Arabidopsis thaliana: one gene and its partners. The protein of the gene in region 3 interacts with the protein of the main gene of each other region in a pairwise test. Each region holds a gene or a part of one and is shown on either strand. Other genes may lie near its edges.

Region 1 (7,704 bases), on a different chromosome or scaffold from region 3:
TGAGGTAATATAGAAAGAAATTACATGGATAAAGATAATATAGAACCTACGAGATTTGATGAATGATGAAACTATACAAAATATATAATCTTCATTGATATCATTGGTGGGAAATTCTGTTAATTTAAATTATTTTGTATGTTGTTACTTGTTACATTGTACTTTAAATTTTAAATTTATTTAGTTTTCAACCGAATTATGGTATATTTTCTTCAATATTTGATTATGTGCATCGAAATAACTTTAAACTTCTTTATTAAAAATCATGTGTATATAGTAAATCATTAGTAAATAAATTCAATACTTTCTTACCATATTGTTCAAAGATGGAAGAAATAGTAAATAATTTGAATATTAATTGTATAAAGTATTTAGAGTTCTTTTGATATCAATTAGTATTAATATATCAATATTCATATATGTTAATCTTACTCATTAATCAAGACTTTATCAATCTCACAACTTCAAATCTATTAACTACTTTACAATTTACACACATACTATAATCAATATGATATATACAATTATGAAATCTTTTACTCAGAGAAATATTGCATATCATTTTCATATATTTAAATAAAACACAAGGCTTATCTTGTATATCAATATTATAATTTTTCTTTTTTGATCAATTCGATAATTTTTAATTTATAAATACCCAAAATAATTTTAGATTATAATTCATAAACTAAATATTTAGTTTAAAACTAAAATATCATAATCACAATATTTATGATATTTTTTATTGAATGTATTATAAAATAATTTAATATTATATCAATATATATTAATTATAGACATATATTTCACTACATTCATTTCACCCACGCATCGCGTGGGACATTTTCTAGTACTAAATAAAGTTGTGATGCTTTTTCCTCTAAACACCGTGTTATATTTTGTATTTTTCTTATTTTGTTAACACCATGTTAATTGTTCACTATCAAATTACTAACATAAGTAATTTTCAATGTAATGACTCACGATATATTATAAATGTTGAAATATTTCATAAGAAAAATACGTGGAAAACCTAACTAAAACCAATGTAAATTGACAATTCGAATTTGTTGGGAATTAGGTGTCGGGAAGTATTGAATCTTTACATCATTCGAATATTCCTTTTTAAAGGTTTTAGATTTTTTTCTTTTCCAAAGTAAAAACGGTATACACAAATTGGGTAAGAAAGAGTTAGATGTTTTTTGTTTTGTTTTTGGTGTGCAAAAAGATGGAGATATTTATGAATCAGACAAAACAAAGACTCCAAATTTTAGAAGGTGACATGTACATCTCCCGAATCGAGTAAAAGGACTACGTGGTAAACTACATCAACTTGTTCCCCAACACGCTAGCGAGATCGAGAGTGCAAAAGGACTAACCAGGTTTTAATTCTGTTTAAAATAAATATGAAATATCATAACTATATAGTTTGAATCGTTTTAGCATTAAGCTAATCTCCGAGGTAAATAATGTTGTTGGCTTAAAGTTTTAGGGAAACTTCGGACGCATAAAAGAGTCCAAGCCGAAGAAACTCATAACACCAAATCACCCACTTACATAACAACTTTCTTTATAGACTGAAATCATCTAATCCAATTAGCCAAAATTTGTACGGATATTGGCGTCTTGCCTCAAATCTTTCTACCACAACTCAATCTTTACAAAAAAAAAAAAAAAATGGTGTAATGTTTACGAATTTCTAATAATAATATTGTTCTTGCACATATTGATGTGTGGAATTTTGATTGTCAAAGATGTTATCTACAAAAATATACTTAAAGTTCTTCAGTCACCTTTATCTCATCATAAAATATAATGAAAATGTATATGTTATTTTGATATTACTTCTTGTTCTATCTGTACTTTAAAGGGACATTAACACATTATACCACTATAATAATTGTTTCGAAATTTTTAATATGCATTATAAAGCTTTTCTACAAAAGAAAAGACATCCTCATATGGGCTTTAATGGGGGCATGTGCATGTGGGTTGTGCTGGTAAATTGGGTCACCAGACTCTCACCACTTGCAATTGCATTTTATTTTTTGGTTTAACAAAACAGCCATTATTTCCTTGAGCTAAAAAGACAAGGAAAAGTTAATATATTAGCTTTAAATTCAGAGACAGTTTTCTGTTCCTTATTTCCCCCAACAAGTTACATTTGATATTTTCCTTTTGCCCAAAAAAAAAACAGCAATAAAAGAAAGGGGGAAAAAAGAAAAAAGACAGAGATGATCATTAAGCACATTCAAACAAAATCTCCAAAAAAAAGTTACGAGTCAGTTACATCATCAATGCATCATCATTCATCACCAACATATATATGCTTTACACTCACATGTAAATCGAGCAAAGCTTGGCCATATCAAGAAACAACAGCTTTTGTATCCGTGATTGTCAAATCTTACAAATATAATAATTTCCCATAAAAAGACAAATATTTTGCTATCAATTCAAAACCAACTTGCATACACACAAAGACAAACACTTCACATGGTTCTTGTCAATTTCTTTACCCACAAATAGATAACATTCACCATCAGAATTTTCCGCTATTAAAATGTTCAAGAATCAACAAAACAAGAACATTCTTCTCTTCTTATTCTTACCCATTTTAGCAAATTAAAAAACAAACCAAAAACAGAAATATAACCAATTATCAGAGATAACAAAAAGTGGATTTTCAAGAAGAAGAAAGGAACTTTCTTTTATTTATTTCATTGTTTTTATACATATCAAAGATCTGATTATGCGAAACTGTTTACAATTCTCCCATTACAAAAAAAAACTGCTAAAAGGTTAGTAAAAAACATAACTCAATTTCTCTAACGATCCTCTCCAACAGAAACATAAGTATTACATATAATTCGATTCTAAATTTCACCAACCGTAAGCAGCTTTTTTTCTTTCCCAATCCAGATTACAAAACCCAAAACATACAGTGTACATACATACCCCTCATGATCTCTGGCTTTGTGGTCTTCCATCAAGTCCTTCTATTCAGTGTCAGACGGCAAGAAAGAAATGGTTGGAGAATTCGGGATAGCGGTTTCATCAACCGCTGAAACCGCGACAGGCTCAGCTACTACATCATCAGCTGTCAAGTTTTGCAACTTGGGTTTCAATTCATTGTTACAGAAATCTTCATACTCTGTTTTATCTCCTCCTTTCTTCTTGACTTCCACAACAACCAACGATGGTGTCAATTCGAATATCTCTGCTGCAATCGTCAATGGACCTTTCACTCCTTGTCTTGAACCTTCAAGACTTACCCTACAATCCTTCTTCCTCACAGTAAAGCTCACAACTTTAGCAATCTCTTCCAACTTCGATATAATCTTCGAAACCGGAGCTCCCGAAACAAACCTAGAACCCTCCCCATCGTCATCAAACAAACCCGATAAATCAAAACCTTGCGAAAACGATATAATATCGAAAGCATTCAAACTCGCAGGTCTAGGCAACCCTCCAACTCTCCTCCTAGGCTCCAAATACTCAATCTCCGACTCAGAAGCCGCGGAATCTCTATCCGACTCCACCGAGTCAGACTCCAGTTCATCATCATCAACAACATTACACAACTTATCATCCTCCACATAAAACTTAATATGCTTAAACCCTTTCTTAAACCAAGAATTCTCCATAATCTCAGGGAAAGTGAACCGTTTCTCCGGATTCGTCTCCAAAAGCTTCGACAACAACCTGGTAAGCTCAGTAGAAAACCACCTAGGACACCTAAACTCCCCTCTGTAAATCTTCTTATACATAGCCATAACATTCCGATCATGAAACGGCAAATAACCAGCCATCAACACAAACAAGATAACACCACAAGACCAAATATCAACTTTAGCAGCATCATAACCTTTCCTAGCTAAAACCTCAGGAGCAACATAAGCAGGAGTACCACAAAACGTATGAAAAAGCCCATCTTGACGAATCTGATCAGAGACAGCACTAAGTCCAAAGTCAGAGACTTTAAGATTACCATTCTCATCTAACAAAAGATTCTCAGGTTTCAGATCTCTATGATAAACACCTCTCGCGTGACAGAAAGTAACAGCAGAGATCAATTGCTGGAAATATTTGCGAGCTACTTCTTCTTTAAGACGACCTTTAGCTACTTTATTGAATAACTCACCTCCACGAACATACTCCATCACGAAATAGATCTTAGCTTTCGTCGCCATGACTTCGAATAGCTGAACGATGTTTGGGTGACGAACACGTCGAAGAATCGAGATCTCGCGTTTGATGTGTGCGATTAAACCTCCTTTGAGAACTTTCTCCTTGTCGATTACTTTGATTGCTACGCTTTCGTTTGTTTTCACGTTACGTGCGAGGTAAACTTTAGCGAAGGTACCATGGCCGAGAAGCTTACCCATTTCGTATCGTCCCAGGATTAGAGCTTGTGGGCTGCTTCTCTCTTTAGGTAACGACGTCTCTCTCGTGATTTTCTCCGCCATTGATGAAGAAAGTTTGAGTCTTTTTTGGACCAAAATTAAAAAGTTTGAGTCTTTTTTTTAGGGATTTGGAAGATGAATTGAAGAGGAAAGGTGGAGAAATCGAGATTCTGGGCGAGACGAGCTCGCAAAGATTTCGAATTTCTCACCTGTTGATTCGTTTGTTTGAATCTCTCCTCTCTCTCGTTTTGTGAAATTTTGTAGAAGAAGAAGAAAGAAGAAGAAGGTTTCTCTCTCTACTGTTTTTAGAGATTCATCACTAAAAATAGCATTTGGCCTCTGTTTATAATAATCGTCGCCGTATATATTTGGGAATATGCTTTTATGAATTTTGTGTGTTTATAGAAAATAACTTTTTTTTTTGTTAATGGTTATAGAAAATAGTAACTTTATAAATTTAATGCAGGATTTTGTGTTTAATGATATTCTTAAGTACTGTATTGACTAACAAAATGGGTTGCAATGATTACTTATCATTTCTCCCGACGATATATATAATTTGTTTCAAAAATTTAAATAAGTTGAAACAATTACAACTTGCTATTATAAATTTTTTATTTGGACTTACATATTCAAGTAAGATCATCATTCACGTGAAGATAATACAAGTTTAATCATCTCTCAATGTTAATTATTTCAACTTGTATTTAAATTCCTTGTTATTTGCTGCGTGTATTTTGGGTTTTTTCGAACCAACCGTATGTCAGTATTTGTCATGCCTCTTATGCACCAATTATATACCACTTGTTTGTTACAAATACTCAAAAACAAAAACATAATATAAGTCACTATCGTAACTTTGTTTTGCTATAATTCATTTTAGAACCGCTAATGTCAAACAATAACGCAATAAAACGATCAAATAAATGAATTGATGTTGAATCATTTCAAATAATTGTAGTGGACCATACGATCGACATTGTTTCAAATACAATGTTTCTAAAATATCTTTCGAATTGTACCTTGCATTATAAACGCTTTTCAATGATGAATTCTAAACTTTCATTAATCTAATAGGGAAAGACAATTAGCACCAATAGCTAAGTGAGTGGGTCAAGTTGTTGGTCTCGAGACGAATCTAGATCGTAGATTTACGTATGAATTTCAAAATAAAATACTTCCATAGAACATAAACCACGTGGCGTGAAGATGACATCATAGTTTCTGTGGCTGTATTATTCAAAACGATAGTTTATTAGATTTTGTTTTACACGTGGCAGTTACTCAGCGATCGCTTTAGGTTCAGTGGTCTGGATTCTCGAGTTTTCTATCTGGTAAGTGTTAGGCTCCACGTCATCTGAACAAAAAAAAACAGCTGTGAGTTTAATCACAGCCGTTGGATTGCCATATGAAAATGTTTTTGTCTTTATGTAGAGACTCACGGAAATTACGGAATCCAGCTATATATAGTGTTCACAGGAAATTATAAGCGTAAAATTAACAAAGGTTTTATACGCCAAAATTCGGTCGAGAATTCTAAATTAATTCAATTGAACTATGTTAATGGTTTAATTATGAAATCTAAATTAATTCATTTTTATAATTATGAAAGTCAAATCTATTGCAACGGTTGGTGAAGGACGGTGGGGTCGTAAGTCAACATACGTAATGGTGGTCGGTCAAGAGATTATAAATATAAGCAAGAGAAGTTATCATATGAAGCAAGTTCTATTGTCAATTTAGAACGATAATGATGTAAATAATATTTTAGATAGATTTGTTTAATTATATCTAAAATGAAACTTACTAATTAAAATGAAACAGAAGGATTTTTTCTTTCCGGCAGTATTACTAAATTACAAATTGGTAAAAATGTTCCACACTATACCTATTGAATAACAAATTTTTCTATAGTGGAATTGCGATTGACAGTTTGGCACTTGCATTAAGTTAATAATTTCACATATATTTTAAGTTCAAATGATAATTATAAGCTAATAAATTCACGTAGATCGTACGCACACATTTTGTTTACATGCTTTAACGTGTTGCATGTTATATATCTAGTTTGGTATGCAAGATTCGTGCCTACCTTGGAACAAAAGAGGCAAATGCTAAGACAAAAGAGGCAAATGCCTAATCATGGCCCAAATTATATACTTTAGAGGATCCCAATTCAAATAGTACTCGGTAGTATTTTGCCGCCAGCTTTTGTCGCTACTTTGAAACAATCTTTCGTATTTAAAGACTAGTTTTGTCTTCCTGGTTATTTTAGTTTAATATGTGAACTTAGCAGTCCTGTAAATAAACTGAGAAGTTGCCGACGTTTGTTCGATCGTTTCTGTTTTCCTCCGCCACGAATCCGGATTTCTCATGTTAGAAACCTATGCACGTCCGATATGTTGCGTTTGAACATTTTTCAAAAGAGATATATATATGGGCCTATATGTTTCTTTTGCAACTATAAATGGGCCTTTGAATAAGAACACAAAATATTGATATTATTTCATGTCCAAAGTTTTATTAAACTCTAGTTGTCAGCTGAAGTGAATTAACTAACAAAAAAAGAAACCGAGGAAAACGAACTAAAGAATCATTTATCTTAGATTTTGTCAAAAAGAGGGATATTTCACCACTTTAGATAGAATTAAATATAGCCGTATAGGGTTTTAAAAACATTTATATGGTTAAACAAAGTGCCAGAATCTAACTAACAAACTCGCCTAAGTCCTAACTCCTCTTTGTAGACTTGTAACGTACAGAGAAGATTGTATAAATCTATGAGCCTTATACTATAAAAGCCCATTCTCTCCACTAGTTTATAAGCTTTGGTTATGGTGGGCTAAAAGTTCCAATCGAAGCCTGAAAAGTGTGAACATCATAACGGTGAAGTGCACTCTAAGGACTGTACGTTCCAAAACAGCATGAACCATCCACAAAAATATTAACAAAATATAGAAAAATAATAAAGACAGAGAGGCTAAAAGAGATGATGAGTTATATAAGAAGTTTGACTAAATAAGTTTGCAGCTTTGACTAGCCCACCTTCTCCCACCGACTGCCAACCCATCCGTCAATATTTCTATCTTCATTTCCTCACAAATATTTATTCAATCTCTTCATTTTCAAATATATAGTTTTCTAGTACTCGTAGTATGGTCTAAAGACTTTAAAACTAAATAAAATGGTAGGAAGTAAATGCAAATTACTTGAATTTGTAAACTATATTCATACTTTCGCAATGTTAGATTAGTCTGAATTCAAATGTGATTAAATACGTTTGTATATATTACGTTAT
Region 2 (7,978 bases), on a different chromosome or scaffold from region 3:
TGGCACCGGTTTGGACCCACGCGGTCTTACTTGCCACGTCGACATCCACCGAACGGAGGTTAAACATGTCGAGGACGAAGAACGGTTTGCCAGAGTATGTAACGTATGACAAGCCATCGTAGTCGTGGCCTCCACTTCTGATTTTCATCTGAAGGTTGTGGCGTTTCCCGCAAGTAATCGCGGCTTGCACATGGGATTCATGTGTTGCGGCGATTATGAGGAAGGGTTTCGGAGTTGAGGTGGTGTTGAAGCGGAGGTTACGGATGTTGGCTTGTAATACGGAGGAGTAGGAGCCATTTCCGGAGAAGAAGATAGCGGGGGAGATGGGATGTTTGGGGTCGGAGTTTGAGGTTAGGCATTGTGTGAAAGTCTCCGAGTTTGCTGATGATGAGCTTGATTGCCATATGAAGACAACAAAAAAGAGAACAAGAATCAATGCATATTTCATTTTCAGAGATTGAACGTTGAAATACAACAAAAATAAATATAATGACTGAGTTTATGAATGTCGTTGAGGCCTTTTGGTTTTTATAGAGAAGATCATGCATGATGCCAAAATATTTGACCAAGAAAAGTCAAATGTGGGTTCAAGTTGTCCCAAAGATTTTGATTAGTGTGGTGATCGCAATATATTCTAGAATTTACATTTAAAATTCAAGAATATTGTATATACAATTGCGTGTGTCAACGTATTATAAAAGTTATCATTAATGGATTTAAAGATTTTGAATATACTTTTCAAATTAGACTGGATTCAAAAATCAAAATGAGAATTATGTCACGGAAGTAGTTAACCGATTTTGTTTTTTTTTGTCTTTTGAAACTATTATAGCTAGGCACTAGTTGACTATGTAGTAAGTGAACTCTATCGTTCAATTTATTAATATTTTTTTCTGAAATTTTCGTTCAATTTCTTTTACCAATACAAATTCAAAATCTTAGGCTCATAATCTCTTTTGGTTTGGACTAAAATCTCGATAATTCTTTAATAAACGGTAAATGATTTATCTTCATCGGATAGCTAAATTTGGGAGTAAATTTTCAGCCTTGTTCCAAAGAATTTTTTACGAAGTGTTCTTTCGATGTTGGGTCAACACCTATACTGCCTCTATGAATATAGAAATATAAATTCTATAGGTGAGACTCATAAAATCAGCATTGAATCTGCAGTTGTTATAAACACAATTTTTTTTTGTGAAAAACTGAAAATATATTAATTCCATTAAAATCATTTCTGTGTCTCTCAAATGCGACCTGAGAGCATCCCTACTTTTATAGTATCACTCCAGATGCATTAAATTCGAGTTTGTAATGTAGAAGTTTCATTTTTTTTTACAACACTCGAAGTAGTAATTTACGATCCCATGAATCGATTAAGGATGGCTATATTTGAACAGAACTATATCAACTATGAAAAACCCTTGGACAATTAACGACCTAATTAGTTAAAATAAATTCTTTATAAATATTTTGTGACAATGTTTTGGAACTCTACAAGGTAGAGATGTTGAATATTACGTAATTTTTTTTTTTGGGCAAAAAAATATTACGTAATTATAATAAGTGTTTAAATATGAAAAGTATTGACTGAAATATAACATGAACTCATGAAGGATACATTTGAGCGGCTGGTTTGACTTTCATATTGTTGACCAAAAGTAGTATTATTGGGGCCGCAAATAAAGAAGAAAATATAAACTAGACGTGGATTCTAAATTAATTATAACACTGATATGCTGAAAAGAATATTGATATTTTTTGTTAAGAATATATTTATATAAGCCATTTATATGTTACCCGCATGTTAGTCTATAGATTAGAGAGAAGCATGACTAAGCTGTCCATTAAAAAAAATGCAACAAAAATCTTAAAAAAACTTTCCATACAGACAATTCTTATAGAAATTAAAATAAAAGACGTAAGGTATTAGAAAATTTAAAATGATCAAACACATTTTGTTTCAACGAGAGATGTTGTTTTACCGTACGAAAGCAAAGATGTTGACGAACGCATTTATAGGAGGAGAAGTGCAAATCTATTACAAGTTACAAATTGTTTATATTAAAATCATTCAATTTAAAGAAAAAAAGGTAGAAGGATCAGTGCGTCTAGTCATCTATAATCTTTTTCTCTGATGATGCCATGCATGCGTGTGGTGTCGTAATCACTACATAGAATTCTGCAAAAATTGATCCCAAAAAACAAAATTGATTTTACTTTAGAAAAAAATGTAGTAGCTAATCTTATATTTTTCTGGCCAATGAAGCGGTTCGAGCCACTATTCTTCATCCATTGATGTGTACCAATAACAACACAAAGAGTAGATTTTGTGGCAGTCTTTGTTTTCGCCGCGTATATCCATTAAGGTAAGTTCACACACATGCATCATCGATCGTAACATGAGTAGTCTAAGGACATTTACTCATAAGTAAGAACTAAGATTTAACTATGGATAGAGATGACAAACAAAAAAAAGATTTAACTATGGATAGAGTTGTTATGTTTTTTTCCATCCGAATTTCAATTTTTTCCCGGTTTTGGGGTTTATAATATAATGAATGTTAGATCAAAAGAAAAATTATTAATCATCAAACCATTCCTCTTTTGGTTGTTCAACTGTTTTTCTCACTGTAAAACCTTTCAGAACAACCATACAAAACATATCACATATTTCTTCTTTGGTGTTACTCTGAAAGGCCATTGGGCCAATACTCAGCCCATGTAAAACTCTGAATATTCGAACATATTTATTTATCCATACAGTTTTAATCAAATAAATCAAATAGGGAAGAGAGGAAAAATCTCATACCAAAGAAGCAAAAGATTGACCTTACCAAAAAAAGAAAGAAGCAAAAGATTGAATATCAATGAAATAATGGGAGTATCTCTTTCTCTTACATATCACTCAAAAATAAATAATAACACCAAACGTTTAAATTTAGAAAAGAATATTATATATCCAGAGACTACATGAAATCCTCCACTTCAGGAAGAGGATTCAGTCTTGGTTCTGTACCTGTACAGAACTTTCTTCTTCTTGCCAGAGACATTGTCAACGGTAAGAACAATCTTACCAGCCTGACTGTTCTTGAAACTGTTCCTGATTGGTCCTTCATTTGCTCCCATCTTCTTCACCTTTTGGACTATTACCGTGTAAGCTCCTTCTTCTGTTGGCACAAACTCTTCCTTGTAATTCACTTCCCATCCCAAAACCGCTATGTCCCATACCAATGTACCTTCAGTCTATGAAAACAACCACAAAACAAAAAACCATAATTAGAAAGATAGGGTTTAACAACTTCAGGAATAAGGTAGGGTTTGGTTTTCTAATTATACCTCAGGAGCTGGGATTTCGATGGTTTCAGATGATCCAGGCTTAACAACAACTTCAGAGACAGTTTCGTTGGAGAATTCGGTATCGTCTACTGTTTTGAACCCACCGTACTGAACTGGGAGCTCATCAGCTGGAATGTACTTGAGAAGAGTCTCTCTGACCTTAGCGGGACGAGCCACAACAAACTTGCTCTTGGTTCGTTGAGTTAAGAATGGCGAGAGGACAGCTCTCATGGCGTAGAACCAGAATGGAACGTTGATGAATATCTGCAGAACAAAAACAAACAATGATTAGAAAGTCAGTAGACCAAATCAACGAGTCCCAAAACGAATGATGATAATAATCAACTCACGTTTCTGGACACGAATTCCGGATAGTTGTCCTGCAAAGTCTCGATTACTTTCTTGATTCCGACCCAAATCTCTGTTCTTGACACTCCAGGAGCGTTTTTGAGATCGTGGATCTGGAGAAGAGAAGTAACACCTCCTGGTTTAAGATTAAGCTTCTGGATTCCCTTCTCCATCAGCTGAAACCTCCATCTCAAGAACTTCTCTCTGTTCTTCTCCGACCCAATCGTCTGGTAAAGCTCCTCGCTGTGGACATTGTAACAAACTGGGTGGGACTCGCGGTCCACACCGTTCATGTAAGCTGCAGTGGCAAGATCCTCCCCAAACTCCTCTCCAAGGATCGAATCAATCTTGTTTTGCTTTCTCCATTTGAGGGTTTTCTTCAGCATCTCAAAGGCTTCGTTGACTTTAAAGTCTCTTGCTCTCAAGAACTTCAAGAGGATAACATCCGTGCTTTCAGCTCCTTTGCTTGGAAGCAATGGCACTCCCCAAAGCTCGATATCCTTATCCACCGACTCATCTTCATCCTCCACCTCAATAGTCTCAGCTTTCACTTCTTCAGTAACAACATCCTCGGTTTTCTTCTCTTCTTCCTTGGTTTCTTCTTCTACCTTCTCAACAACAGTAGTCACTTCTTCCTTGGGGATTATCTCCTCTGTAACAACAGCCTCAACAGTCTCAGCTTTCGGTGCTTCTTCGGTAACAACAGCCTCAGATTTCTTCTCTTCTTCAACCTTCTCCTCTGCTGCTTCTTCCTTCTTCTTCTCAACCTCAGCTTCAGGTTTCACAACCTCTTCCTTCTTCTCCTTCATAGGAGAGCTCTCCTTCTTCTTCGTCTTTAAGAGAGTGTTGTCAACAATAGCTTCCTCAAGCTTAGACTTGAGATCACTCAGTGCCTTTTTCTCAGATTCTTTCAAATCAGCAAAGAAATCACTCTCTTCTTTGAAGGAAGCACTCTTCTCCACACCCTCAGGCTTGCTCTCATCTTCTTCAACCTTAGTCTCTTCCACAACAGCCTTAACAGTAGTCTCCTCAGGAACAACAGCAGGAGCAATAACAACCTCTGACTCCACCTGTTTCTCCTCAACCTTAACTTCAGCAGTCATCTTAAAGCCTGTCATTCAGAATCGATTCAAACAATATTTAGTCACCAATTATACAATTCACCAAAGTAGTAACCCTAGAACTAATTAACCTTGTTGAATTAGTTGAGATCTAAAAGAAACAAGCTTAATTCTTCTTCCTGATTAGTAGAGATCTAAAATCAAAAACGTAATTCTTGTATAAACCCTAACGATTAAACGAACTCAAACAACATAACACAGAATCCAATTTCAACTCTGCAGAACTAAATCTCAGGAGGAAAAGATTGAAACTTTCTTTTTTTTTTTCCTGAAGGCGAGAGAAACCTAGCTCAAATTCGAAGCTTTCTAAGTTTATCTATATAAAAATCGAGAAATCAAGAGAGACAATAGAACTAAAACCCAAAAAGGATTCGAATTTAACAGCTTCTAAAGAGAGAAAAAGAGAGAAACCAACCTAAAGAAGAAGATAAGACTTACACTGTTTCTGGAAAAGATTCTTCTTCGGAATCTCTTTATAGAACCTGAAGAAGTTGTTCTTGTAGTGTTTTTTAAAGTTTAAGCTGCAGCAGAGAAAGAGATTAATGGGGGGTTGTGAATAAATAAGAGAAGAGAGAGGAGGAGGAACAAAGAAGGGAGCTTTATGCAGAGAAGGAAAAAACCCTAGGACTAGAGGTGGTCCACACCGCCCTTAGCAACGGTCACATGATGGACCCTACCAGTAAACATGAAGAACCAACCACAGCCGTTGGATGATCCAACCTGGCCCCAATTTGCCAGCCTGGCAAATTCTCAAAATCGCAGAACAAATATTTTACGTAGCACCAAGAAATATAAATTAATAAACAAAGATATTGGTGAGGTCCCACGTTTCGCTTCTCATGTTCTCTCAACGGTCGTCGATGCTGATCTGTTTACACGACACGTGGTGCTATTCGACAGAGTATGTTCGGCGCAACGGACGGATATATTCACTACCAAAGTCACTTTTTGTGTGAAATTCATTTTAATATGGTTTTATTTTGTTTTGTTTCCTTTCTAATTTTACAGAGTTATCACTTAATTCTAAATTACGTCCCATTTTAATATAATTAGAAAGTACCATGTATAATGTGATAGTGGAGAAGAATCTCTTCGTTGTAACGGTTCTCAATCAAATATTTGTTCCTTAATATATCATGATTTTCATTAAACAGTCGGAATTGGATATACGGTCTCCTTTATTGGTAAGTAAATGTCTCTTTTAGCTGTTGACACCAAAATATGCCAACAAAGACACTAATCATTATATTTTTATATTAATGAGTTGCTGTTTCATATGAATGGTTTCATATCATCAAATGTTTGCATGTAAATCAGATGATTAAGTGATTTGAATATTGGTCGAAAAATTCTAAACTTAGTTATTTCCTAATGTAAATATGTGATTAACATACACAAAAAATGATTATTTATATAAGTTCTCAATAAAAGTTTTGTCTATGATGTTTATGTCTTTATGATGTATAATTAAAAACAATACTAAATATATCAGAATAAGCAAATGTGTGAAAAAAAAACAATGGATTGATAAATTAGATAATACCAATAATTTTGGTCTTGGTCATATCCTTTGACGAGAATAAACTATTTCCACAACTTTCACCTATATTCCCTATATTAATTACGTTCGCAATGATTATATATGATCGACATTTATAGTGCACCGCCGCAACTGATTCTATTATAAAATATTTGCGTGACAATTAGATTAATACTCAAAGAAATCAACTAGATAGACGTAACACAAAGCAGTATAACATTGGAAATAATTGAATCAATTTGCAAAGAGTTTGCATAATTATAACAGAGAGGTAGTTGAAGTCAACAGTTATACAGCTAATTCACAACACCAAATCAGCCGCAACAAAAGGAGGAGACAGAGACAGAGAGAAACAGAACAAACTACAGAAACAGACAGAGCACAAAAAGATCACAGAGCTGTACAAAAATCGAATTCAGTCACATTTTGGATCAGACCTACCAGACACAATAGAGAAACACCATGATTCATAATTCCACATTACATAGTAGAGACATAATCTTGTTCTTGAATCTTGACAGTCTGTTAAAACACAAAGGTAAGAATCTCACAAGATCATCTTTTTCCTCACCAATGGTAACCCAAAAGGGATAAAATTTAGTTGACAAATGTTATCGATACGCTATGTCCACCGTGTTTGACGGCCTTTAAATTCACCAAACTGATCAGTACCGCTTGGGTGATCTCCTCTCTGGCATTCCAGGCGTCACTGGAGAATCCGAGTAGGAACCAGTTGTCCTGTCGAATAAAGATTTCATTACTGAACCAACATAGTAGAATTATCGATTGTAACTTTGAACAGAGTTTTGATAAAGGTTTGGTGTTCTAGGCAAAGGTCTCTACGCTTTGGGTACTTCGGAATAACTTCAGCTAGTTTTCGATGCCAAAGTAACAAAATACTATCATAAGTTCTTGTGAAAACTTGTTTAGTCCGTTAAGTTAGATTAGTAGAAATAAGAAGGTAGTTGAAAAGTTTATGTACCTGTCATAACACAAGTATGCATCACCAATTTGTCCTGCCACCTTGTTTCGTACTTTCCTCACACCAATCTAAAACATACAAAAAGGTTAGTAACTTTACACAATAAGAAGGCCATTTTTAAAATAATACATTACAGATGAAGATGAAGGGATTGGTACCCACTTGAACTAGATCAAGAGGTCCAGCATTTTCGTCGCGGTTTCTGTGAACTATAATACCATTGTCACATTTGTTTATAAAATGTGCGCTGCCACTAATATCGTAAAGGTTTGGTGCACCGCCATCCCAATGTTGCAACTGTTTTGGATGAGCGACAAACCAGACATGGCAGGAGTGGTGTTGGGAAAAGCGTTTGATTTTTGTAAGCATCTGGCTGACATACTCTGTCTCCGTCCTATCAAAACGAATATTAATCTTTCATGTTTCAGAAAGGAAAGAGGGTATTCAGTGAAAATATTTTCTTCACTCACTGGCGTGGAGTACGTTGATGATCGAGCTCATTGTAAGGATCTATAACAAGTCCTCGAATCCCATACCGAAGAACAGCTGCTTTTGCACGTTCCAGAACCCAATCAATACTTGGAAGTGAATCCATCTCACATCTGATTAGTCATGAGAACCCAAACACCAAAATTTTAACATATCATGTCC
Region 3 (6,281 bases):
TAATTCTCAACTTAATTTTGTGCCATAATCTTTGATTAAATGAAATATGTAGGAGCAAAGACGAAGTTATAGTAAACGAGCAGAGTGGTTATCTAATGCGCACGAAGATCGCATCATCAGATGAAGGCGGCGTTGCAGCTGGTTTTGGAGTCTTGGACAGCATATATCTGATTTGAGATGGATAACATTCACAACCATCTTGATCAGTTTTTCTTCTGGTTTATTCCTTCTTCTTCTCTTCTTGCTTGTTAAAGATTTGTGTATTAATCATGAAGATCAATAAGACTAGGCAAAGCTCTTTACAATTCTTTCCACAGGACCGCAAAGCCTACATTGCTTATTGTTATTTTTAGACCGTGTGAGATGATTACTCGTTTATAAAGATCATGAATTGAATAAGATAAGATCAATCATGGAATTTGGGGTATAAAGATTATTACCATAGCAACATATTTAGACCATAGGCACATATATGTACATACACAAATAAATGTTATGAATCAACGAATGTCTGAAATTCCGATGCCTCTCCGTTTTGAGGGAAAGATAGCAAAGAAGAAGCTTGCCATTGTCAACACCATAACAGCAAAGTACTTGATCATAAGTACAAAATGACCACCCCAACTGTTTTCATCGTCCTCCGGGAGCAAACACCTCCGAAAATCCGAGCTCTCTACGGCTAACGCTAAGAACACGATAACCGACACGAAAGCATGCACGAAATCTACAAAACTGAGCTTATATCTCTCTCTCTTATCAGCCGTTAAGCCGGACTCTGGATCATAACCTTCGTCTGGATAGTCGTTGAGGATGTGGAGACCGTTAGAGGTGGCAATTCCGTAGTAAATGCGGCCATCTTGGCCTACATATGAGTCGGTGAAGGAGGAGAAGAAGCAAGCCGCGGCGCAAAAGGAGATGAGAGTAATGGTGAGGAGTTTATTGACGGGTTTGTTGTTGCACTCGCCGCCATTGGAGAAAGACGGTAGTAGGGTTTCGAATATGAGGGCGGTCCCGGTCGGCAATAGGTTGGCGAAGTTTCCGGCAGACGGTAGCGATCTAATGAACGACGCCTCCATTTCGTAATTTGATCGGAAGTGAGGAAAGTTTGTATGTTATGTGGAGAAAGAGTGTTTTGTATGTTCTTCTATACGTAATGCATGCATGCGTGAGGATATGTTTGATGCGTCTTTATATACATTTCTTAAAGATGTCGAGTTTTATTTGGTGTCCGAATATGTAATATATATTTAGTTTTGTTACTATATATTTCCACATTTTGTCAAAAGAAAATAAAGAACTATAGATATACACATTTGGATAACCCTTTTTTGTTAGAAGTTAGTTTATATATTGGAACTTAGTTTGTGGTTTATAACTTTGGCTAGTCGTTAATGAAATTATGGTGCATCAAGATATTAAGTGGAGGTACGCTCTTATTTCGTGTTTAGATCTTAAAGTGTCAAAATACTTTTATGAAAGTGCTATTTTTTACAAAATTCGATTCGTTATTTTTGCATGGCCATAAACAAGTTGGGACACGATTTTTTTACGTGTTCACACACACATGCATTATTTGATTAATCAAATCTGCCAGGGAAAGAAAAAACAAATCTTAGGAAAAAAAAAACATAATATTTGAGCTAAAACGTAAATAATTGGAGATGTGCATGTTCTATGAAATTGAGTCCATTAAGCGATATCTTGCACGGTTGTACCTAACTCATTTTGGTGACTCGGTCTTACAAAAATACGTCAATTTTTATAACACAAAATACATGTAACGTCTAATGGTCTTTCATTTAAAATATATATCTTGTATTCTTGTTTTATATAAATAATATGACGAAATGAAAATATGTATGAAAATGTAAGATGTTACTAACCTTGCACACATAAAGATCGAACCGTTTCTCATTAAGCGAACCGTAAAATTTTCATCTGATGAAATTTCATGAAGATCCTTTACAAAAAAAAAAAAAAAAAAATCCAGTTGCGAGATGCATCTATACTATTAATTGGAAATCATTGAAAATAAACAACCTTATGAAGGGTAAAATATTACATAGAATGCCATTGATTGTTAGTGTTTTTAAATAAATTTATTAAGAATACAATAGTAATCACAAAATTAATATATTTAAATATAAAAATTGGTAATATTCTTTTAAGTAATTATTAGTTTCCCAAAATTAAACTCACTTTCTCTTTCCTATTAATTATAGACGAAAAAATAAAATATATTTCTTAAAATTTGTTAACCAATAAAAATTGAAAAACTTAGATTTGATATCAAATTATACAATATTATTAAACTAACATTTTGGAAGTTAAGTTTTATTTTAAAATTTTAAAAAATCATAAGACTTGCTTGATATCATGAATAAAAAAATCATAATTTGTGATAGATAAATAAATTCAATTTAGAATTTTGGGTTAAGTATTTTGAAATATAAAACGAAAATTTATTTTAAAATTTTTAAAAACGAGATAAGATGTTACAAATATTAATATTTACTATGAATTAAACTAAAATAATTAATTTAAAATAATTATCATTATGCCTTACATTTAGAAATATCTAAACAATAAATTTTACATACTAATTTTGAAATATTTTGGATTTTCTTTTTTCTATTTTTCAACCGGATCTTTTTTCAAATAAATCTATAATATATTAGTGCACAAACTTTTGAAATAATATAAACTAATTATACATTTTTCATTCAGAACAAATTATCCAGCAAAATAAATTGCTTTTGTAGGGGTATTTCAAAATTTTAATTATATTCCAAAAATCCAATTAATTATGATTAAACAAGGGAAAGAAGAATATTAAACATGTAGGTAAGGAAATAAACATTATTACATTTGTTAAAATATAAATTTTTACAAAATTATTTGTTATAATGCTATTCATATTTTTGAATTTGAAAAAAAATCAAGAAAGAGTATTTTTGTGTTTTAATTTATGATATATTTGTAAACTTTAACATCCTATATGTTAATCCGCAAAACTCAGTCATATATAACATGATATTTAAAGGTAAGCAAATAAGAATTTTGGAACGTATTTTCAATGGAATGAAATGAAAATAGGAATTATGAGACACAAACGACATGAAAAGAAACGGAAGCACTATATAAAGAAATTTGAAACCAAACTGGACATCAAATTAAATATCCAACTGGTATGAGTTTGGGTTATGAGCACTATATAAAATAAATTAACCCTGCATGTACGTATTTTGTGACACAAATTCTATTTGTGATGGGCGTTGGTAGTATTTTTATTTCACATATACAGACGGGTTATGGAACGAAGAATTTATGATAGATACATCACATTATGGGTTTTCCGTTCCAAGAAATATACGTCAAATATACGTTTTAATTTTCTAAACTAATCAAAACATTATAACAGTTTGATTACTGGTGTAAAATAGGATATAAATTTGGTTTTAGTTTGGGTTATTTCCCCGTGTGAGTCCAGATTTTAAAATATAATTATACACGAACACAATTGAATTTTGGTTGTTATTCTTACCTTTATAATATCTATACTATTACAAAGTTTACTTATAACAAAATATTATATATATTTTAAAAATCTATTACTTTTTTTCATATTTTGCACGTATATGCGAGTTCTGATATCTAATACATTATACTATAATATATATCATAAAATAACAAAAAAATCTACATTGAACTAAAAATATAAAATTCCAAAAATATGAAATTCCGCACGTATGTGCGGGTAAGGATCTCGTAAACATTAAAAGAAACAGCGAACAGTGGTCATTTTCTTTGAGAAACGGGAGCAAAGTAACGTTTCATTAATAATAATAATTTATTATCTACAATCCTTCTTGATGATTACCGAGAATTAACAAGCCTCACTATATCATATATGATATATGTAACACTTAATTATGCCATCATATTTGTTAATCATCGGAATTGTTTCTCAAACTCTATTAGCCAAGAAACAATTCCAATGATTATGAGATATAATACCAAACTCAACATCTTTAGAGTAAATATCTCATTTCTATGATCAAACTCAGTCTTAGATTTCGATTTAGTAATCTCTTGTTAGGTTCAGTTCAGTTTCATTTGAGATTAGGTTTATCGAAGAGTATACTTCCTCTTAATAATCCTTTATTTTGGTGATGATATGGATACATCCCCAAATATCTTCTTTTTTTGTTTGTTCAAATCCCCAAATATCTATTAAGTTTGAGATCTTTTAAGTTTAAAGATGACCAAGTCATGGGTTTGAATCCTAACAATATCTCTAAAAACTAATTTTTCTTTCCGTCCGAAAAACAAACAAACAACTAATTATGGTTTCGGACACAAAAAGACTATGGACAATATGTTTATAATACTTTTCGTAAAAAAATATTGTAATTTCACTTAGTTATAATATTCAGAATCTGATCCATTTAGTGTTGGGATAGTGGTAAGAAGTCAGTCTAAAATAAAATGGTGAAGTCTATTTTTGGTTGGAAATGATTTTTTTTATTTATTTTTGTTGAAATGTTATTTTAATTTTATCAACAAAAAGGTAATTTACAAAAGGAAAAAGAGAGACATGTTTAAAACGTTAAAACAAACATGGCACTTATTTTACACTAGAGAACAGAAGATATTGTCATCGACGCTTTGGGACTTGCATAAGTAGACTCCAACGACTAAAGGAGTGTGGAATCACCGTCTGTTCGAGCCAATGTGCAGGAGATGATGTGGTTGGAGATTAATTTGTCTATTGCCTGAGCTGTTTGAAGAGGAGATTTTTATATCTTGGCCATAAAAATACGTAGTTATAGTTTATTTTATTTCCCTAGTGTACAAAGAAAAAATAGTACAGTAAAACTTTGATTATGAAAAATTATGTATATTTAACAAACGTGGTCCTTTGTTTTTTTTTTTTATTGACAATGAACAAACATGTAGTCCCTTCCATGCCATCTTAATTGTAGATGTACTTCTCATGATTCACAGCAATTTGTTTATTTTTGTCCTCACGCCAATATGGAAAGTGGGGTATTCATTTTTTTTTTTTTTTGTGATAATAATATACAGAATATTGTGTATAGATTTTAACTATATGTCATTTAGTGTTGGGAAAGTCATATGATAGATGATCTTCATGATGTTGAAAGAAAAAAATAATTGATTTTGGTAAACTACATTTTTTTTTGTCAAGCCAGTAAGCTGCATTTAAAAACTTTCTTTACAACAAAAAAAAAAAAGAAGACTCGGGATGATATAAAGATAAGGTTGAATCAGTTCCATTAGTTAGGTTTTGAAAGTGACCAACTCATTATTCACTCACTATTCACTATTTGTGTTTATTCCATTATCAAAAGAGTGGACCAAAAAAAAGTGGAATTGATTGATAATATCGTTTAACAAAAAACAGTATGACCTATTTTAGTAGTTGTCAAAAAATGAGATAAGAAGCTGAAAAATAGTAGAAAAAATCAATTAAATAAAAACATTTACATATTTGGTATGATGACACGCGATGAATAGAAAAAACATTAGTTCTAAATTCTAATCAAAAATTGTTAAAACTATTTTCTTAAAAAGGTAGATTTTTTAAACTATAGAAAACAATAAAAATAAAAATAAAAATTAATAATTATAACAGAATAGTTGCTATTTAAAAAAATTAACGGTTGGCCCTTGTTTATACAACACTAGATATTAAACTTCTTAACCTTTTTATTAGTGAACGATGAGGACAAAAACATTTTACATTTGCAATCATAGGGATAAAATACAAATGAACATAGGCCTTGTTTTACATCGCGGAAATATACATAAAAAATTCTAAGTATTAGAAAAATTAAATAGTGATTACATAATGAAAAAAAAAATTACTTTCTTAGCACAGTATCATAAATTGATTTTAATTATTTATCTATTAAAATAAAACTTAAACGTTTCAATCTAACTTTGATTTATTCTATCGGGCTCACGAATAAGCGAAGCTTGTATTTCTTCAAGTGATAATCCTTTCGTTTCCGGAACGAGCAACCAAATAAAAAGCAATGCTAGTCCTCCGACTGCTCCAAATACGTAAAATGTTCCTGTTACATTGATATATAGTATTAGTTGATTACTTTCCATAATAATAACATAATTTTTCAAACAAAATCTAACTTATTATTTTTCAGAAATTCGGTTTAGTCTGAAAAAAAAACATATAATTGCATTATAACTGTGGATATGCTTTATAATTATGCCAATTGCATTCATGTTTTAGACTT

What was found. Proteins that work in one complex are often made in the same cells at the same time.
Region 1: the proteins of AT5G27370 (region 3) and CIPK12 interact in a protein complementation assay, tested with the Arabidopsis thaliana proteins (one large-scale study listed by BioGRID).
Region 2: the proteins of AT5G27370 (region 3) and AT1G30690 interact in a protein complementation assay, tested with the Arabidopsis thaliana proteins (one large-scale study listed by BioGRID).

The regions. Positions count from the first base shown.
Region 1 is NC_003075.7:10,286,111-10,293,814, forward strand, and holds CIPK12 (CBL-interacting protein kinase 12), read right to left. Parts: upstream 4,949-7,704; 5' UTR 4,470-4,948; coding exon 3,000-4,469; 3' UTR 2,688-2,999; downstream 1-2,687. UniProt on the Arabidopsis thaliana protein: CIPK serine-threonine protein kinases interact with CBL proteins. Binding of a CBL protein to the regulatory NAF domain of CIPK protein lead to the activation of the kinase in a calcium-dependent manner.
Region 2 is NC_003070.9:10,885,093-10,893,070, reverse strand, and holds AT1G30690 (Sec14p-like phosphatidylinositol transfer family protein), read right to left. Parts: upstream 5,465-7,978; 5' UTR 5,221-5,464; intron 4,796-5,220; 5' UTR 4,788-4,795; coding exon 3,687-4,787; intron 3,601-3,686; coding exon 3,337-3,600; intron 3,244-3,336; coding exon 2,986-3,243; 3' UTR 2,688-2,985; downstream 1-2,687. Other genes in the region: AT1G30700 (FAD-binding Berberine family protein), read right to left, coding at 1-448; AT1G30680 (toprim domain-containing protein), read right to left, coding at 7,011-7,083, 7,328-7,395, 7,490-7,721, 7,798-7,929. UniProt on the Arabidopsis thaliana protein: Carrier protein that may be involved in membrane-trafficking events associated with cell plate formation during cytokinesis. Binds to some hydrophobic molecules such as phosphoinositides and promotes their transfer between the different cellular sites.
Region 3 is NC_003076.8:9,662,106-9,668,386, reverse strand, and holds AT5G27370 (inactive Serine/Threonine-kinase, putative (DUF679)), read right to left. Parts: upstream 1,077-6,281; coding exon 501-1,076; downstream 1-500. Other genes in the region: GSH2 (glutathione synthetase 2), read left to right, coding at 53-176; SFP2 (Major facilitator superfamily protein), read right to left, coding at 5,962-6,101. UniProt on the Arabidopsis thaliana protein: Involved in membrane remodeling.